4 linked regions of the Cricetulus griseus genome follow. The protein of the gene in region 3 interacts with the protein of the main gene of each other region in a pairwise test. Links are inferred from orthologs where the notes say so. Each region holds a gene or a part of one and is shown on either strand. Other genes may lie near its edges.

The links. The genes of interacting proteins can lie anywhere in the genome.
Region 1: the proteins of Nrip1 (region 3) and Cib1 interact in a two-hybrid assay, tested with the Homo sapiens proteins (2 studies listed by BioGRID and IntAct). The link is inferred for Cricetulus griseus from reciprocal best matches to the Homo sapiens genes NRIP1 and CIB1.
Region 2: the proteins of Nrip1 (region 3) and Esr2 interact in a two-hybrid assay, tested with the Homo sapiens proteins (2 studies listed by BioGRID, with this or other methods). The link is inferred for Cricetulus griseus from reciprocal best matches to the Homo sapiens genes NRIP1 and ESR2.
Region 4: the proteins of Nrip1 (region 3) and Rorb interact in a two-hybrid assay, tested with the Homo sapiens proteins (2 studies listed by BioGRID). The link is inferred for Cricetulus griseus from reciprocal best matches to the Homo sapiens genes NRIP1 and RORB.

Annotation. Positions count from the first base shown.
Region 1 is NC_048596.1:117,372,567-117,377,515, forward strand, and holds the start of Cib1 (calcium and integrin-binding protein 1), read left to right. Parts: upstream 1-1,536; 5' UTR 1,537-1,642; coding exon 1,643-1,693; intron 1,694-1,823; coding exon 1,824-1,858; intron 1,859-3,360; coding exon 3,361-3,469; intron 3,470-4,922; coding exon 4,923-4,949. UniProt on the Homo sapiens protein: Calcium-binding protein that plays a role in the regulation of numerous cellular processes, such as cell differentiation, cell division, cell proliferation, cell migration, thrombosis, angiogenesis, cardiac hypertrophy and apoptosis.
Region 2 is NC_048598.1:127,302,112-127,307,041, forward strand, and holds the start of Esr2 (estrogen receptor beta), read left to right. Parts: upstream 1-1,517; 5' UTR 1,518-2,125; exon of another isoform or gene 2,126-2,321; 5' UTR 2,322-2,400; intron 2,401-4,930.
Region 3 is NC_048597.1:18,833,676-18,838,661, forward strand, and holds the start of Nrip1 (nuclear receptor-interacting protein 1), read left to right. Parts: upstream 1-1,752; 5' UTR 1,753-1,882; intron 1,883-2,236; exon of another isoform or gene 2,237-2,841; intron 2,842-4,986. UniProt on the Homo sapiens protein: Modulates transcriptional activation by steroid receptors such as NR3C1, NR3C2 and ESR1. Also modulates transcriptional repression by nuclear hormone receptors.
Region 4 is NC_048596.1:42,062,314-42,067,185, reverse strand, and holds the start of Rorb (nuclear receptor ROR-beta), read right to left. Parts: upstream 3,414-4,872; 5' UTR 2,746-3,413; coding exon 2,739-2,745; intron 1-2,738. UniProt on the Homo sapiens protein: Nuclear receptor that binds DNA as a monomer to ROR response elements (RORE) containing a single core motif half-site 5'-AGGTCA-3' preceded by a short A-T-rich sequence.

The DNA.
Region 1 (4,949 bases), on a different chromosome or scaffold from region 3:
ATTGGTCTTTTGCTTATATATCATAGTTTCTGGGTGTGTGTGGGGGAATGAATCTATATTAGGTTACTCTAGAGCAGTGGTTCTCAACCTGCAGGTCTTGACCCCTTGGGTGTTGAATGACCCTTTCACAAGGGTCTCTTAAGACCATTGGAAAACATAGATATTAGCATTACAACACATAACAGTAGCAAAATTACAGTTATCAAGTAGCAACAAAAATAATTTTCAAGATGAGGGTCACAGCATGAGGAACTGTATTAAAGAGTCAAAGCATTAGGAAGACTGAGAACCAGTGCTCTACAGGAACAGAACTGGTGAATATACATTAAACGGGGAGTTATTAGATTGGTTTACTCAACATGGTCTGGGCAGACAAACAATGCTAGTTGCTTAGTCCACAAGGATGGGTGTCTAGGCAATTCCAATCTGGTGCTGAAGGCCTGGAGAGTTGCTGAAGAGCTGCTGGCCTTTAGTTTGAGCTGGTAGCTGGAAGAGGCTGATTCTAAAGTTAGCAAAGGAATTCCGTGGTGGCAGTAACAGGATAGACGTACTTATCAGCAAGCGAAGGCAAACAGGCCAAAAGCAGTTTCCTTCTTCCGTTTCCCTTTTGTACAGGCTACCACTCGAAGGCACTGTGCACATTCCCAATTCAAAAAATCTAGACCACCAACATTAACTGTCACAGAATGCACCTTTCCTTCCTCCTCCCAGCAGCTTGGAATCCTCGCTTTTTCACGTAGTGTAAATTTGTTCATTCGCACATGCATCTGATAATTACTTGGATGTCCTGGAGGTTAAGCGGAGAAAAGAGCAAATAAGCAGACCAACCTTAGTCTCTACAGCTGGAAGCTTGCATTTTGTGGAAGGGGTCAAAGGAGGCAAGTCAGCTGTCACGATAAAACAGCAGTAGGGATCTGTGGACAGGACCGACCTCTAAACGCCCGAGTCCTGACACATCACTAAAACTGGACTTAGGTAAAACGGAAGCCTACCTTGTCAACTGTTCCACGAATGGACGATAACTGCACAAATCCAGTGAGTGCTCAGTAAACAGCTTCAAGAGGCAGCAAGCTAAGCTACTTCTGGAAGAGTCGGCAAGGTGGCGTGGCTGCAGCTCGTGTCCAGTAAGACGGTCTGGGACTGTCCCTCTCGGCCGAGGGGCACCGGATCTCCTCCAGTCCCGGAGTGAGTCTGGAGGTTAACTGCCCCTACCCAGGACTGAGGTCTCCAGCACCTGCTCTAGGTGAGGCGGATACATCTCAAGACTCCACAAGCAGACGCATCCTGGAACACAGGGAGGAGCGTGGTGTCCCCCGACGCAGGCGCAGTCTGCACCACGTGCGCGCGGCGCGACTAGCCACGCCCCTCTGGAGGCGGGGCCGTGCGGCCTGGGCCCCGCCCCTGCGCGTCCGGCTCCTCCCCGGGCCCTGCCTCCAGCTCGCCTGGGCCCGCGGGGAGCCGGGAGCCGGCTGGCTGAACCTTGCCAAGGGTGCCAGGGCACTGTACGCAGGGGCGGGCCCGGGGGCGGAGGCCCGGCAGCGGTTGCTGTGGGAACGGGGCGGGGACGCGGCCCCGAGGACGGAAGTGAGAAAGTTGCCGGAGTCCCGGGGAGAGTTGGCGGAGCTGTGCGCGCATCGCAGCGATGGGAGGCTCGGGCAGTCGCCTGTCCAAGGAGCTGCTGGCCGAGTACCAGGTGCGCGGGGCTCCAGTTCTCGCGGAACTCGCGTGCGGGCCCGCGCCGGGTAGTGGGGTTCGGAAGCCGGCGGCGGGGAGGCCGTGGATTTTGGGCGGCTCGCCGACCCTTGTCTGGATTTGTCTTTCAGGATCTGACGTTTCTGACCAAGCAGGAGATCCTCCTGTAAGTGCTGTCCCAACCCCCGTCCCCCGCCCTCCACCGCGGGATTGCGGGGGGGTGGCCTTTGGGGGTGCTGTCCTAGTGGGGGACGGACTGGCCACCTCTCCTTTGAGGATGGGGTCGGGTTTCACAGAAATCAAGATCAGCGGATCTGGAACCAGAGGCCCGGAGTGCAAGTTTCGCCTGTGCTTGGGCCTCCGCTTTGCATCACGCATACACCTCCGTGTATTCAGGAAAAGCTGGGCTGTTTAAGCCCCTCTGGCCTCCTCACTGCAGAGCTTCCTGCTATCTTCGGGAACAGCTGTGGCTCTATACGGACTTTGCCCTCTGGCAAAAACTAGAAGCCTTGAGGCGCCTGGCTCGCTCTTCCAACTTTACCTGTTTAATGCAGTAACCGTTAACGTTTACTGAGCCTTATTCTGCTCAGGAACTACTGTGTGATTCCCACATTACTTAAATCTTCAGGAGGAGATTACAGAACAAGGAAACAGCTTAGAGGGTTCTGGTAACTTGCTTATAAAGCACACTTAAGTGATTTGATGGCCAGGATGCTTGACCTAGGGAGGTTCCTAGTCTCCTCAATGAAATTCCACTGGGAAAGAGGTGGTAGGTGAGAGAAGGGGTTGAATTTCCTGGAGTTGAAATGACATCGTGTTTTTGCCGCGCCCACCCCCCACCCCCACCCCCGCCACTCATTGTTCAGGGTCACTTACAGCTCCTTCCCTAACCTCTCTTTAGGAATCTTTGAAACTGTTACTGTAATTGTTAGGGTCCAGGAACTTGGTCCACAGGAAATCCTAACTAGCTAGTCTGGCTACCTACCCTCAGTAGGCCAATTAAGGGGAAAATATTCAAATGCAGAGAAACGAAATATATCCAGTGTGGCCACACAGGGAAAAGTATCAAAGAGGTCCAGTGACAGGCCCCCTCCCTCAAGTCAATTTTCATGCCCAGCTGATGTGAGGTTTATATTTAAACACAGGGCAGGAGCTATGTGTAACTAAGCAGTCTGGTCAAGATGTGGTGTCTCCATCATTGTCTCAGCTCCATTCTCTTATGAAAGGTGACCTGACAAGTTATTGGAACTGTGTGAAATCTCTTTCTGGTAGACATTTCCTCCTTGGCTGACACCAGACTTCATCCTTCTCACAATATGAGATTACTGGGGAATCTTGGGGACCACTGATTCTATAGTCTGATAGCCAAAGGGCAGGGTACAACTATCTCTAGAATATCCTTTTCCTGCCAGAACAGTGCCTGACAGTGTCTGCAGACACACATACTTCCTCTCCTCCATAAATACCCACCCTAAGAAGGGACTCCAAGCCTCTGCTACTTTGTAACTTACCTCTCTTTGGCTGAAGTTTGTCCAGTGACTGGAAGTCCTGGTTATGTGACTTAGTTATACACCTGGTTTATATGGCATTCAAAATGCAGACTGGGAATGTAGGAAACAGGGAGTCTGACTGACTGAAGGCACCAGTAAGTCCCCCTCTCTCTGCCAGAGCTCACAGGCGGTTTTGTGAGTTGCTTCCCCCAGAGCATCGGAGCGTGGAGGAGTCGCTGCACACCCGAGTGTCATTCGAGCAGATTCTCAACCTTCCAGAGCTCAAGGTTCAGTCCTCCATCCATTCTACCCTCTTCCTACTTTACCCTGTCTCTGCACATGTGACCACACCCTGGGTTTATTTTGATGATGATGTGTAATTGTTTGTGTGTGGGTATGTACGTATGTAAGTGCCAGTGCCTGTGGAGTACACAAGGTGTTGGACCCTCTGGTGCTGGAGTTACAGGTAGTTGTGAGCTGCCCATCATGGGTGCTAGGAACTGGGGTCCTCTATAAGAGCAGTACAGGCTCTTAGTCACTGAGTCATCTCTCTAGCCCACTCCCCTCTTTAAAAATAGCAGTTTGGGGGATTGAATGTTTAATGGCAGGCAGGCACTTTACTGACTGAGCTAACCCACCACTTCTTTTTTTCTGATATGGGGATTTTACTAGGTTTTGCTATGTAGCCTTGACTGGCCTTGAACTTGCTTCAATCCTTTCCCTACCTTCTGAGCACTGAGATTATAGGCATGCATTACCTTGCCCAGATTGCTATAGATAATAATCATAATATTACTACTATTATTTTGAGATAGGGTCTCACTGTGAAGTCCTAGCTAGCCTGGCTGGAACTCCCTGTGTAAACCAGGCTATCTTTGAACCCTTCAAGATCCACTTGCCTTTGCCTCCTTGGTACTGGAATTAAAATTATGAACCACAATGCCTGTCTGAAATTTCTATGCAAAGAGCCTGGCTCTGTACCAAAATAATTGTTCAATTAAGGATATTTAAAAATGACCAGCTTGGCCAGGCATTGATGGCACACGATGGCACACGGCCTTTAATCTCAGCAATCAGGAGGCAGAGGCATGAGGATCTCTTGAGTTCGAGGCCAGCCTGGTCTCCAAATCGAGTGCCAGAATAGGCTCCAAAGCTACACAGAGAAACCCTGTCTTGGAAAACAAAACAAAACAAAAATGACCAGCTTGGTCCAGCCAACTAGCTTACTTGCCTTATAAGCCTGGGGACCTATGTCTGACCTCTGGAACCTATGGTAGAAGAGACTATGGAAAGTTATCCATTGACTGCCATATGTGTATGGTGTGCTCACACATGTGCTCATGTGTGCATGTACACAATTATAATAATAATTGGCTCATCTTGTTGCTTTGCTTAGGACACCTTCCTTTTCCTGCTATGACTCCAGTTGTGATGTGCCTGAGATAGACTCCCAGGGAGCATCTCCAGCCCTTCCCTGGCTGGTTTAGTAGGTCCTTCCTGAACCCTCCATGTCCTGGCCTCAAAAGTTCTCCATACAGTGCCACTACCGTAATCAGATTCCTCAAGTTTCCAGAAGTCATGGTGACACACGCCTAGAATCCAGCACTTGGGAGGTAGAGGCAGGAGGATCAGGAGTTTGAGACCAGCCTAGATTTATGAGACTCTTGCTCAAAAGTTGTTTGGCTGAGCATGTAACCCAGGTAGTGCCCTTCGACATTCACATAAGGCTCTCTTACCTAGGCCAATCCCTTCAAAGAGCGAATCTGC
Region 2 (4,930 bases), on a different chromosome or scaffold from region 3:
ATGGCCTCTGCATCAGCTCCTGACCTGACTTGACTTCCTCTCTTTATGGACTATAACTGTAAACTGAAATAAACTTTTTCCTCCCTAAGTTGCTTTTGGTATTGGTGTTTATCATAGCAATGGAAATCTAGTTAAAACACACACACCCGAAAGTAGCACGTAGTTAAATGGCCAGTAAGCGATCTCTGTGTATAAAAACCACTGTTGCTACTGGGTGTGTTCTTTTTTTATGTCTTTTTTAAAGATTTATTCATTTATTATGTACGTAGAATTCTGCCTGCATGTATCCCTGCAGGCCAGAAGAGGGTACAAGATCTTATTACAGATGGTCATGAGCCACCATGTGGTTGCTGGGAATTGAACTCAGGACCTCTGAAAGAGCAGCCAGTGCTCTTAACCTCTGAGCCACCTCTCCAACCTCACTGGGTACATTCTTATCTTGTAGCTTCATATTGTGGATGTAAGCTCTGTGAGCCTCCAGTCCTTGTCGGGAAGGTGGGGCCAGTATTACCTGCCTCTCAGAACTGGTATAAACATTAAATGAGCTGCTGTGCAGTCTGGCTTGCTATACATACTCCATAGATGCTTTCTTTATCCCCACTCCACCTTTACCTGCCTCTTGGCTCTTGATTGACAGTGCTTCACTGATGTTCCATTCCAGGTGATTTTTAAAATTAAGAACACATTGTTGTTCGTATGTAATAATACATTGTGGGTGTGTAACATGTTGGTTACATCCAAACAGTCGAGGTTGGCATTGTACAAGTTTCCCTCAAAATATCCCCTTGGTCTCCCTCTGTTAGACCACCACCCACCAAGAACCTTGTCCTGAGTCTGGAGAGACACCCCAGCTGTTGAGATAGCATAGTCCTCTTGAAAAGAAGCCTAAATCTGGCTAGGTGGTGGAGGCACACCCTTAAATCCCAGCACTTGGGAGGTAGAGGCAGGCAGATCTCAGTGAGTTTTAGGTCAGCCTGGTCTACAAAGTGAATTCCAGGAAAGCCAGGACTGTTACACAGAGAAACCCTGTCTTGGAAAACCATTAAAAAAAAAAAAAAAGTCTAATTCTGTTGTCAGCACCCATGCCCCAGGGCTCACACCCTCCTATAACTCCATCTCCAGGGAATCCTACACCTATAGTCTCTGTGGGATCTGCTCGCATGAGCTCATGCCCACGTGCACATAATTAAAAAGATTAAAAGGTAGATCTTTAAAACCCTTCATAAACATGTCCCCCGCGCAGTGTGTGGATGGTTTGATGACTGATTAGGTACACATGTGACACCTCGTTAGCCTACAGGTCATTTGGTTTCCTTTTACCTTTTCCCATCAGTGGCTGCCTTACAGTCAATTATTTCTCAGAGACTAAGATATGATCGCAATCTTTGCATAGTAGGACCACTTCCAGATGAATGGGGAAGGTTGACAACCTTCAGAGCTGGGAGAATCAGGGCTGCCGTCAGGGGGCGCCAGAGACCCTCGCCGCCACGGTGGGAGGAGCCCTATAAAAGCGTAAGGGGCTTTTCTCCAGGTGAATTCCAGGAGGCACCCGAGATCCTGGACCTAATCCAAGACTTTTTTCCCCTTCATTCTCTCTCCTCACCCCCGCCGTCAGACTCTGAGAGATGAGTATCCACGCTTCCACCTTCAGCCGGTGGCTTTGCCTTTCTGGGGATCAAGCTAACGCTCCCTGCAAGGGACCTATCTGGCTTCATGACTCCGTTATTACTGCCCCTTTCGATGCTATTACCCGAACCCAGGGCCTGGTCCACGCTTCTCAAGGATAGTTGTCAGACTTAAGCGTTTAATGACATCCGCTTGGGTCAAAGACTGGAGACAGGATCAAGTGTGGACCCGCACTGTCAACTTCAGAATCCCTGGGGACCTGGTCAGAAATGCCCATTCTCTCGGTCCTCCATTGTCAGTCTCTTGGGCAGGGAGGGGGCGTCCCTAGTGGGTGGCTGTGAGATGGCTGGAAGTGGACATCCAGTGGATGTGGAGGCGCAGCGCCGGAGTGCCGGAGATCTCCAGCTCCGGGTTCGCGGTCACGTGGGCTCTTCAGCTAACCACCCACCCCCTCTTCACCGTCTTTAAAAGGAAGACTCACTAACGCCGTTAGTCGCGGGTAATCTTTGCAGCCTCTCCAGCTGCTGGCCTTTTTGAAACCAACTCCCAGGTCCCTGTCTCTTGCTAGGCTTCTAGAACCACCCCTTGAAACTTCCCGGGAGTAGAGGGGGGCGGGCGAGGGGAGCCTGGCCGGGAGGGAGCTGCTTGTGCTGCGACTGGCATCCTTGGCACCCGGTCTGAGTAGAGTCTGGCAGTTCCAGCTGGGCTGAACGGCTGCTGTGAGTTCTGCGTGGGGACCAAGGAAAGCACGTGTCTGCTTTTAGAGAATGCCAGGTAAGTGCCCTTTGGCTCAGAGTGTGGTTTCATTGACTTTGTGTGGATTCCTGCAATGGGAAGCCAGCAATATTTAGAACAATAAAGGGGCAGAAGGATGGATGCAACTGCTTGGACACCACTGGAAACAGAAATTTTGCTGACTTTTGGGTTGGTTGTGTGAATATAACTGTTTTTTTTTTTTTTTTGGAAAAAAAAAAAGAAAATTCCCGTGGTTTTCTTCCGTGGATTCCTGGTGGTGGATGAAATGATGAAGCTTTTTGCCTGAGTATCGTGGACCAGGGAAGATGTGCCTATTTCAGGCCGGTGATCACGGCTTGGTCATGGTAGTCCTTAGTCATGTCAGAAATAGATTTATCTTTTCTTTCTGGGTAGTCTCAGATACGTTAAATCTGATCTCTCTTATTTGCTGGAGAGGAATCTAACTGTTGCTTCTTCACGATTACCTGTGATAACTGTTTCACAGTGGAAGCAGAAAATTGGGTCAAGTGAATATTGTTTTTGTGTGTGAGAAACAAAACTTTGAATTTGAGTGGAGCTCTGTTCAGAAAGGAAGCTTGTTGGTAATTCTTACGTTTTAGAAGGCAGGTGTGTTTTGCGCAGCAAGCAGCACTCCAGAGGAAGGAGTTTTGTTTTGTTCTATTTCAAGTGTTTCCACTTGAAGTTTTGTTTCTGCTGTAATGATTCCACTCATGGTGATATTTCCTCTCTTTCCCTGTAAATGTTATTTAAAAAGTGAATGGGAAGATTAGACGGCAGCTATATGGGGACAATGAAAAGAGTGTGATAAATGCTTAACTCACTTTCTTCTCCAAGAAAGCCTGTAGAGTGGCTCACACCCCATGACATACCTTTATCTCCAAAAATATTTACATTACGATTCATAACTGTAGCAAAATTGCAGTCACTAAGTAGCAACAAAAATAATTTTATGGTTGGGGTCCCCACAACATGAGGAACTATGTTACAGGGTCACAGCGTTAGGAAGGTTGAGAACCACTGCTCTAACAGACGTTCTGTCTGAACAAAGTAAAAGGTCACTAAGTGTTAAAGCAGAAACTTTAGCATTCCATTTTATGTTCGGTGGTTTTCTGGAGGAATCTGAAATTCTTATTTCAAAACCAGTGTTAAAAGGAACACTTTTAGTCTTGCTCAAGATATCTAAGTGTTTGAAATAAACAAAAAACACATGTAGGGCCATTTCAAGGAGGGTTTAGGAAGCCAAATGGTTCGAGTCAGAGTTGACATTCCTCAGAATGGATTTTTAATATACAAAGGTAAAACTCGGTACTCAGTTCAACCTATCAAATATATAATTTGCCTTTAATGGGCGTTATGCCCTTTGTGAAGACTAAGTCACTGTAATTCAACAGGCCATACCTTAAAATTTATTTCATGATAAAATTTTAGTTGATGTTTCTAGTCATTTTATGGAATATATTAGGAAATGATTACATAAAATTCTGAGGAGTAAACATCAATCACTTGCTGGTAATTTTTTGTTGATTGTATGCAAAGCCCTTGAAAACTGAATGCGTGGGTATTAGGTCTCATAATTCAGTGTTTAGTACATTGTGATAGACATTTGAAAAATTATGCTTATTGCAGTCTTGTTTACAGACAGTTGAATTTAAGCTTAAAAAAAATACCACCCTGAGGGTTATGATAGAGAGGGATTAGCTGTCTCTCATTTTGGAAGATACACATATAGTTTTAAAGAGTTTCATGTAAGTCAATTATTAGCGGTCAGTTTTATGGTTATTTTAGAGTAAGTTTCTTTGTTCCTAACTTAAAATTGATTGGGGACCTTACTATTTTGCTTTGGAAAAGATACATGTGAAGGTAGTAACTGCTAAACAGAAACAGCAAGAATGCTTGGTGCTAAAAAATGTGTACCTAATGGTCCAGGGATGTGGCTCAGTTGGCAGAGAGCTTGCCTGGCATGTGCACAGCCCTGGCCTCCATCCACAGCATTGCATGAATCAGGCATGGTGGTGCTTGCCTATAATCCTAGAACTCAGAATATAGAAGCAGGAAGACCAGGGAGTTTAGGCTGCATAACAATTTTCAGGCCAGCTTGGGCTACATGAGATTGTGTCTTAGAGGAAAAAAAAAGGAGGAAGAAGAGAAATGAATTTATATGCATTTTTCTTGTCCAGGAAACTCTTTCTGGTGAGTGTGAGTTGGAATAGGATGCTTGTGGTCGGGGAGGAGGATGGACAGACAGGTGGAGGAAGAATGGAGGTAGCCTGTCGAAGTTATCCACATCTGCAGGCCCAGGATACGGCACTCGGGAGGTGGCATTTTGTTCACACACACGCAGCAGACAGGCTTCTAGCAGCCCGGCTATCCGGACTGCTTGTGGAGGTGGGCTTTTGTCAAACACAAGTTTAAAAAGTAAAATTCAGAAGCACGTTTTCATGATCAGAAATCATTTTATCTTAAACTGGGAATCCTGACTAATGTGTGACTCATCAGTGGACTAGTTTCACCTTCTTTGCCACACAGAAGGCTTTTCACTTGTGCCACT
Region 3 (4,986 bases):
ACAAATACTACTCTGTTACATGAGATTTACACTACATTAGATGACAACAGATTGCACAGGTGACTCACTGGGAGAGATAATATGTATCTTAAAATGTACCATCACCACTAGCCAAAATATTCCTGACATGGGTTCAGGACTGTGCTAGGATATCGCTTTATTAAGAATTAATTTGAAAAACTGCTTTCGCTTTCAAGATTGGGAAGGCACTCTAGACCTTGCTCATTTGAAAAATAGCCGGCTGTATAACTATTACATAACAGTAAAGAATACAGTTTGATCACTTAGGTCATCTTTGGTTTCTATGTGCATCAGTAACTGTTTCCAAATGCTACCAAAAATGCATGACAGTAGATACCTTCATCCACAAATTTGTCTTATCCAGTGAGTATTTTAACGCAGCCATACCACTTTACAGTTCAGGGTGAAGTGAAAATGTACTTCAGTTTTTTGTTTTTTTTTTTATGTCAAATAAAACCAACTTTTACAACCACTCTTTTTCCGCTGGTAATTCTTTTCATGGAGAGATACTAAAGTGAAAAGGAAACGTGACATCTGGGTGGGGAGGGGCGTCAGAAGGAGTCTTCACAAGTAATGTTCGCGAGGAGAGGATTTTAAAGCGGAAAACACGAGAGGGCGAGATCATGGTTTCTTATTATTCTCTCCTCCCTCCACTTTTTCGCTTCACCAATCTGTAGCCCCCCTCAAATTTAGAGGCGGGTTCAGCAAGACAAGGCTGCAGGAAACCCAGGTTTCACTGTACTGCCACCCTGGCTTCGTGATGTAATTGTTATTTATTGAGACTCTGAACCGAGCACAGCTGCTTAAAGAGGTGACAGCCCATCTCCTAGTCCTGTTGGGTCAGATCCTTCCTGGGGGTGGTGCAGATGGCCCGACAGACCCTGCTGGAGACTTCGCAGTGACAAAGCAGCTGAAGATAAACCCGGTTCCTGGGTCCTGCGTCCGTCTAGGGAGCTGAGCTGGGCACTCCTCAGGTCTCCTTCCCAGTTTTCCGCTTGGAATCACGCCACATTAATTACTGGGTCCTACTAGGTGCTGTGGGCATGGGGTCAAAATGACCTAGAGTTATAGCGCCGTCCTTCCTGATTTTAAGCGGGACACAGATTTCTAGGAGGTGGAAATTAGGGTGGGTAAAAGGCAGTCAAGAGAACGCGTGCTGTGGGTGAAATGGGAGGAAGGGAGACCCTTAAGGTGCCAGCCCCTAGGTGGAGACCCCAGGGAAGGGTCAGGGTGTCTTTATTCCTCTGCGGTGCTCACAACGCTTGCCCAAGCCTGGGTGACATGGACGATCACCTGGTCCCTAGGGACAATCTGTCCAGGCGGCTGGACGGGGCCGGAAAGCCAGGGCTCCTGCTCGGAGAGCAAGGCACCCCCCTTTCCCGGTCGAACTGTGTCCTCTCTCTACCTTCAAGGCCGCGCAGCCCCGGGTCTCCCACCCGGAGCACCGGAGAGGAGGCCTGCAGGAGCCGGATAGGCTCCCCAGCTCCAGCGAGCCGCCGGGTACGCGATCAACCCGGGTGACAATGGGAGGGAGGGGCAGAAAAGGGTTAAGAAACTTGGCTGAAGAGCTGAATGGCGTGGAGCAGCGAGGGGAGGGACCCGGCCGCCGCGAACTCGGCGGCGGAGGGAGGAGCGCGGCTGCGGCGGGCGGGCGGCGAGCGAGGCGCTCAAAGTCAGCCTCGCAGACATTGCAGCAGAGCCCCGAACTCGGGAGGCGACGGCGATCGCGGTGCAGGCGGAGGACGAGCCGGCCCCAGCCCGCCCGTGCGCACCGCCCGTGGCCTCGCGCGGCCGCAGGGCACGGCTCACCCGGGAAGGAGGGAGCGACGCGGATCGGCGGCCCGGAGCCGAGGCGGCCTCGGTGAGTGGCGATCGCGGCCCGGGCTCGGTGCAGAGCTGGCAGAGCGGACGCCGAGCCACCCGGGCACGGCCTGGGTGACCGGCCCGGGGAGGCGGCGGAGGCCGGGGAGGCCCACGGGGGACGCCGGCCACACGGATCCCGGGGACAGCTTGCCGCCGCGCCCGGCTCCGGGTCTCCCCGGGAACTCGCGGCCGCCCCCCCCCCCCGCGCCGACGCGGCCGCCAAGTTGTAGAGTTCCCAGCCGTGGGATCGTCCGTGCCAGCCGTGGCGCGAGGGGCGCAGCCTCCCTGGGTGTGCTGAGCCGGGACCCACGCGGGTGGCCGGGTGGCGGGGCCCGGGTCGAGCCCGCTCGGCTGCTCCTGTTGGCCCCGAGCCCCGGGCGCTGGCTGCTGCGCCGCTCGGTCCTGCCGCCCAGCGGTGCCCGCGGTGGCGCCCGCGCTGCTCCCCGCCTTTAGTTGGTGCCTCCCTGCGCGGTGCTCGCCGATTCCCGGCAGGGAAAAGTGACTCGGACAGGGACAGCGCTGAGCCCCAGGCCCGGCCTGCTGGGCACCAGGTCCCCGCCTGCCGAGGGAGGGCGAGGCTCCTTGCACCGGAGGCCTCAGCCTAGTTTTTCCCCAGCATCCGAGAGCGGGCTTTGCGTTTAGTGTGAGCCTGCTGAAGTCCTCGGAGACGCTCTTCTCTCTTGTGCCACTCTCCTCCTTACTCCGGTTTGAGGAAACCCTCGTCCGTGGCAACACTCTCCGGACCCCCACCCCCATCCTTCCCAAAGTAGTTTCCAAATTTTAATCAGGAGTTGATGTTCAGACTGAAGGAACAAAGGAATCCACTGTGTTTAAAAGGCGGACAGGCGGTGAGCCTGACACATGTTGATCTCTGAGGCATTCCAGGAGTTTCTACCTTCCATCATGTCAGTAATTTAATTGGATTCTGGCGGTCGTAAACGAAGAACAGAACGTTAGGTAATTTTATGTTAAGATACTTTTTAAAAATTAGTGTGTCATTTTAGTTGGTGGTAAAGTCCCTACGTTCTTAGGTGCAAGAACTTTTAACTCATTTTTGTGACATCAGGCTTGAGTTTGTCTGCTAATGTAAATGATTGTGACACTGAGGGAAAACCGTGTTTTAGAGGAAGAGAGAGACTGTCTCAAAGTAAAACAAGATCGGTGTGCCTGCCTGTCTGTGTCTGTGTACACACCTATACATGCGTAAATGATGTATAGTCTTCGTATTTCCTGGGTTTTGTAAAGCAAGGGGCTTCAGGAATTCATTCTTTAAAGTTATGAATTACATTGAACCTGCTTATTAGTGAATCATAGGTTTTACCAAGTGGGCGGCACCTTCCCGATGCTGTTATTCAATGTTCAGTCACCAGTTTGCCACCTTTGTCTAAGAGACAGTGAAGTAAGTCTACTTTTTAAGCAAACAGTGCTTCATGCGCATGGCCCCTAAATGTGGCTGCTGCCTGGGTGTGTTGAAATGTCCTTTTACTTCCAAGTGACTTAGTTGCCCTGGTTTTGCCCAGCAGTTTGGTAATGACCATAGGGTTTAATTGACTCAGGGAGCCTGGCTTCAACACCAATAGGAACTTTCTAGGCTTGGTCTTACTTAGTTCCTATAGACAAAGGAGAAGCAGTAACATAGCAGGCACTACTGCTTAGTCTAGGACTGGATACTTACTCCAGGCCACTTTGTACTCCGGTGGGGAGATTTCTTTGCAAAGTTAGCCTGCAAAGTACAGGAGGAGCTTGAGGAAAACAGGTAAGAAGTAAATAAGGAGGGCAGTTAGTTCGGTGGCTGCCTTTACACAGATGAGAGTCCCTGTGCTGCCTTTGAGACCGTGGAACATCAGGTTTAAAACCCATGAGAAGCTTGAGAACCTGTGTTTTCCAAACTTTGTTAAACTTGTACTTTTCTAATTGAGCTATCCGGAAATATTGTGAGTTAGCAGTGGAGAAGTGTTTGTGGCTGAGGCTAGGGCTGCTCTGGGTCCTCCAGTTTTAAGAGCAAAACATTGTGATAAAAAATAACCTATACCACCACCTAGAGTCTGCTTGTTAGTTTATGGCTCCTGGAGTTTGCTTACATCCATCCCCAGGTCCCTTATGGTTGCTGCATGGTCCAAACATGATTTGAGAAGTTGAGGCTTCCTAAAGGCTGTCCAAAAGAACAATTACTTAAGTCATAAACAGCAAGGGCCAATTTAAATTATCCACGCCACCTTCAGAATAGAAAATTATGACATATCAACTCAAGTGGGCTGGCCTCCAAAAGATATTAATTCAGAAATGTAAGGCAGAGCCTTCTAAGCGTGAGCTTTAGGGGTGGCTGTGACTGCTAAAAGATTTTCTGTTTTCAGAGATTCAAGAAATATTACGAAATAAGTGTTCTCAGTACCTTTTGTGGTTCTAGGGAAACAAAAGCAATGATTAAAAAATATAGAGGGAGGAGTATTGCCACTACAAAATTCTAGACACTGAAAAGGTCAGAGAGAATGTAGACAGTAGTTGAATTGGGGTTCAACTATGTGAGAATCAGGCCATGTGAAACAGAGTGATTATCTGTCCTGCTGGTGGTGGCTATGCAAGAGAGCAGTCTGTTGAACAGGACACCTTAGGGAGGCAGCCTCTGCCATGTGGCGCAGCACATTGTCCAAGGAGGAAGTAATGCTCCTCCTTGTAACGTGTAGCCTAAAAGATGGCCTCCAAGATCTTTAATTAAATATCAGTTGAACAGAGAGAACTAGAGCACTGGATTAATTCTGTCAAACATCACTATTTTAGAACATCGAGGACAACTGAAAATGAATTAACTCATATCTGAAAGCAGAGTTTTATCGAAGGTGACAGATGAGGCAAAATATGTCAGTCTAATGGAACACATGGGGAGATGAGGATAGATCTGCCATCCTCGGCTCTCTAGACAGTTGAGAGCAAAGCAGGCTATTATTAATTGTGTAGATTTCATCGCCAAGCCAGTATAGAAGATCATGGCCTGGAAATCATTTTAAATCAGAGTGGCCTAGGATCTATGAGGTCAAAGGTCTTAGATAATTTTTATTTGTAAGCCTGAAAATTGTGAGCAACTTCTGTCTTCCAGAGAAGCAG
Region 4 (4,872 bases), on a different chromosome or scaffold from region 3:
ACCCTCCCACAGACAAAGGGTGCAAAGTTTTGAGGGCCATCAAGCTGCAACCTTCTCCTGTTTAAGAGACAGGAGGGCATGGCTGGAACTTGGGACATGGTCAGAAAGGTTGTGCTGCGGGTCAGGACAATGACCTCAAGAATCAGAGCCTTTCAACACCCCGCTTTCCCTACAGCTTCCCCAGAAATAGTCTCTCAAATGTCCCAAGCAGAGGCACTACTGTGTAGTCTGATCTGGGGGTAGGTTGCTGATTGACCCACAGGGAGACTGCTCCATCCTAGACACTGTTTGTGTCTGGCAAATTGACCTGACTCAGGACAGTTGCCATTGCCAGAAGCAAACCTTGAAGTCAAAGCTCTGAAAGGACCATTTGAGAAGGGAGACAGTGTGTGTGGTGGGGGCAAGCATGGTGTAAGGAGTCGATAGCATGCTCACAGGCGAAGGGCAAAGCCAAGTTTCACGGCAGCTCCTCCCCCAGCAGAGTCTGTTCCAATGGTCTGCTTAGCAGCCTTGTGCAAGGGAAAGATGATTTGATTCTTCTGTCTCGAGTCTTAATTGGCACTCAAGTTCAACTATTAGAAGACTTCTGGATAGTCTCATTCTACACTCCCTCCACCCCCAGGGGGAATATTGGGCATTAAACCTCCAAAAGGCTTCTTATTTCATCTTTAATGAGCAAGCAGCCGAAGGTGGGATGGGACAGTAAGAGATCAGAGAGACCCAGACTTTTTCTTTACCAACTTCCCTTCAGGCTGCCTCAGGGGAGTCTTCTTGGATTAAACCTAGTGAACTGTCCTGGGCAGCTTGGTCACCCTGATCTTCTCTAAGACAAAGGTGTCTGTCGGTTCACACTGGGGACTAGCCCTTGCCTTAAATCCTTCAAGCCAGGGGTCTCCTATGGGAGCAGCAGCAGAAGCAGCAGGTCAAGGTAAGCGCAAGGAAGCCGCGCTCTGCTCCGCCTCTCTGAGGCTTAAGGGGTTTGTAGCTTGGCTACAGGATTAGTTCAGGGGACCAACTGCAGTGGCACTTGGTTTCTGACCCTCAGGTAGCTTGAACCTAGCCATGGGGGAGGGGGATTGTTGGAGCGGAAGAAAAAGCCAACCCCCTAGTTGGCAGTTTCAATTGGGAGCGAAGGAAACCGAAAGGAAAGAGTGTGAGATGGTGAGGTGGGGCAGAAAACGATAAACAAAAACCCAGTTTCTCACTAAGTAAAGGAGCTCTCGCCACCAATTCCTGTAGTACAATTTCTTGAAAGAATTTGGATAGTGGAGCATGTGACCATCCCGTGACTGGGACAATCAGCTCTTGTCACTGCTCACAAACACACTGTGATCCTAACTTTCAGTGTCAATCAAGACACTCACCAAGACACCTTTGTCACTTATCTGGAGTCCTATACCCATGGGTAATGGGCAACTTTTTTTCCATCGCTTTCCTCCTGCCTTGTCCTACAGAGCCCAGGCTCCAAGGCGGTGGCCCCAGCATCTGTATGCCATTGAGGTCAAGCCAGGACTAGAGTTCTTCGAGGATGATCAGGGTGAGGGTCGTGCCCACTCCCCCTTAAAGGGAGTAGGGTTAGTGCATGGGAGCAGGAAGCAGGGTGGTTGAAGATTGGTATTTGTGGGCCCTATTCGAAATGTGTCCTGCTGAAAGCACTTCTATCCAGGAGGCAGAAGGGTTCGGAGACTCGACTGTCGCCTATTTCTGTTTTTATGATCTGGAGGGACTTGTGAATCCGAGAGAAAAGCCCCCATAGGAACGCAATGCACCAAGGAAGGGACGCTCGGATGTTGGGGCTGAGTGTCCCGACATGTTCAGATGTCCCAAGTCAGGAGGGCATCCAGTGGCTTCTTTAAGAAGAGAGGGAAGTTGTGTCCCACTGTAAAGCGAGAGAGGAGGAGTCCCGGACAGAGTGCAAGCAACTTGTGCCACAGGAGAGGAGATCTACAAACTGACTCCTGAAGCCCACCTATTCAGCTATGCAGGGGACACCTCTCTGTCATCCCCGCGGGCCACTTGGGCAGCATCGTTTGCCCTGAGGTGGCACCGCTGCTGGTGGCAGGGGCCCTGGACAGAAGGTGCACTTAGCACTAGCTCCCACTACGGTTCTTTATCTCAGACATAGCCTTAAGTCTCCTGAACTTTCTTTCTCCTAGCAACTCTTTTTTTGGGAAGGGACCCAGCCAGAGCGAAGAGCAAAGGGAAAAGGGGAACCCGGGAAGGTCCTGCCATAGGCTTTTGCGTCCAGTTTCCGGGAGCATCCCATGTTTACTATTCCTGAGAAGGTACGCGCTTGTAGACTGGGATGCTCCTGAGTCTGGCAGTTTGGCCCAGTGTTCACCTCCGGCCAGCGACTACAACGTGACCCGGGCTTCCAGCTGCCTCTACCCAGTCATCCTGCTTCCTGTTCTCCTCTATCCCGTGTCCTGTGGCGCACCCGAGAGTGACGCGCAGAAAAGATGAGAGCAAGTCCAGAACTGAGAGAAGCGACTATCGCTGTCCCGGTCTCCAAAAAGCGCCCTCCCGCGTCCTGCCGAAGTCCCGAGCCTTCCACACATTCCCACAACTTTCCAAGCCCAGGCCATTTGCAGTCCCACCTGCGAACCGAACTAGGGGAGCTGCTCACAGCAAACCTCTCTTCCCTTGGGCCGAGAGCGCTCCCCTCCCCCCTCCCCAGCTCCGGGTCTGGCTGGAGTTGGCTGGCCTCGGGGACCCTGGGTGCCCGTGGGCTCGCTTACCTCGCATGGTGTGGCCGCTGTCCTGCTCCGCGTAGTCATGAAGCTCCCAGCCCGAACCCCAGAGAACCCAAAAATCCCGCTCAGCACGAGGGAAGACGGCGGTCTGAGAAGAGCTGCTCCGCCGAGAGAAGCATCCCTTCAGGCAGACGTCGTGGCCACAGCGTGACGGTGGCCGCCGCCGCTAAGCTAACAGTTTTGATGACTGTTGTTGCTGATGACTGTTTTTGATGGCTGTTTGTTTGTTTTCAGGCAGGGTGGAAAAAAATGTCCTGGCTGGCTGGTGCCTGGGTTTTGTTTTGCTTTTGTTTGTTTGTTTGTTTCTTTTTTCTTTCTCTCCAATGTGCTTGCTTAAAAAAAAAATGCCACCGCCTCGGGCTCGGAGATTTCTTTTGTGATCACTTGGACTGAGGAGGAGGAGAAGGGCAGCCGCAGGAGGAGGAGTTGGTGGTGGTTTTGTTAGTTACAAAGAAGAGGGAGAACGATCAAGGGGGGAAAAAAGGAAACAGAAAAGAAAGAAATGCGGTGTGGATGGCAGAGCATGTGCGTTTTCACATGACATCTGTGCCTGTTAGCGGATCCACAATGTGAATTTTCACTGTTCAGTTGCAGAGAGGAAGGGAGCGAGAGAGAAAGAGGAGAGAGGTGGAGAGAGCGAGCGCAGAAGAGGCTTATACGCGAGGGCGGGTTTGGCCGTACTTCCTGGCCCCGCCTCCTGTCAGCGCCACGGCCAATCAGCGCCCCGCAGCGCGTGGAAAGGCTGGGAAGGCGGGGGAGGGGACGCGCTTGAGGACAGGGGGCGGGGCCGCGGACTCCGGTGTCCTAGGCTGCGGGGACTCAGACTGGGAATTAGAGATGGTCCTATCTGGGGTCGGATCTGGGCCGAGTGTAGCGTGCCTGGGAGTGAGGCAGATCTGTGAGGGACGTGCACTTCTGACTCCAGTAGTTAGAAAGGGACACTGGGTAGTTCTTTGGAAGCAGGAGCCCACGGGACCCGCCGGGCTGCACACAGCCCTCTCTCACACAGTCCCTCTCTCACACAGCCCTTGGAGAGTTTCGTATTTACAGAAGCGCTTTGAAGAGTCCCATAACGTCCGCTCCTCTGGCAGGGCTTTACTGTGGCAGGACGCTTCAGCCTTTAGAGGTAGACTACAAAACCACACCCCTCTAGCTCCAGGCAGCTTCTTTTAGAGACTGTTCCAATGTTCCCCTCTCTTCACTCTAATTGGCTAGTCTCTGGTCCTTCCTTCCCTCCTTTCCCTCCCTTCTCTCTCCTTTACTACTTCACTCTCCCCCCACCCCACCCTTCTCCTTAGTTTCAGGTTCCTTTGTCAAGGACATGGACTTCTTCAGCATTTGGAAATCCTCTGACCCCTGGTTGCAGGACTTAAGGACAGGCTCATTTGGCTTTTCGGTCACCTCAGTGATAGGTCACTTGGCAAAGAGGCTAGACTAGAATAGAAGGCAAGACAGTGTGGATTCTATTCAGTTGGTGAAGGTTTAAAGAGCAAGACACGTGGCTGGTTGCTCTTCAGAGACACCCATTTAGGGGAGCTTGACACTAAAACAATCGTCGTGCTACTTGCATTCCTTAGATAAAATTTGTCACCTATGACAGTTTACTTGCAGTCTGAAAAAAAAATGAATCACACTTACCAAAAGTGTTTCTTTGCATAGTTTCCTTCTTTGTCGATGAAGCAAACACATTGTATCGATGCATGGCATCATAATTTTCTTCTGTGTAGTTAGGGACTGCTTTAATAATTTGCTTAATCGGTCATAGCAAGACTGGAAGTGCAAAAGTTTGCTTGATTGTTCAGTTAGAAAGCATAGAAACGGGACTCAATAGCACACCCATTGGGAACAACTTGATTTTTTTTTTGCCAGTATTTATTCATTCTACTTTCTGTAATACAAAATATGTTGTAGAATGGCTGGTGTTCAGTCCTCTGTATACACTGTCAACTACCTGCCCCTCCAATAAGAAATGAATCACTTCTTGACTCTTCACCAGTGTTCAGCTAATACACTTCTGTGTGCCTTTCCATTTGCAAGCCCATGTGTAATTTAGGAACATTTTGTGGAAACAGGAAAAGTTGATTGAGTCATTAATTAAATGAAACGAACAAAAGGAAGG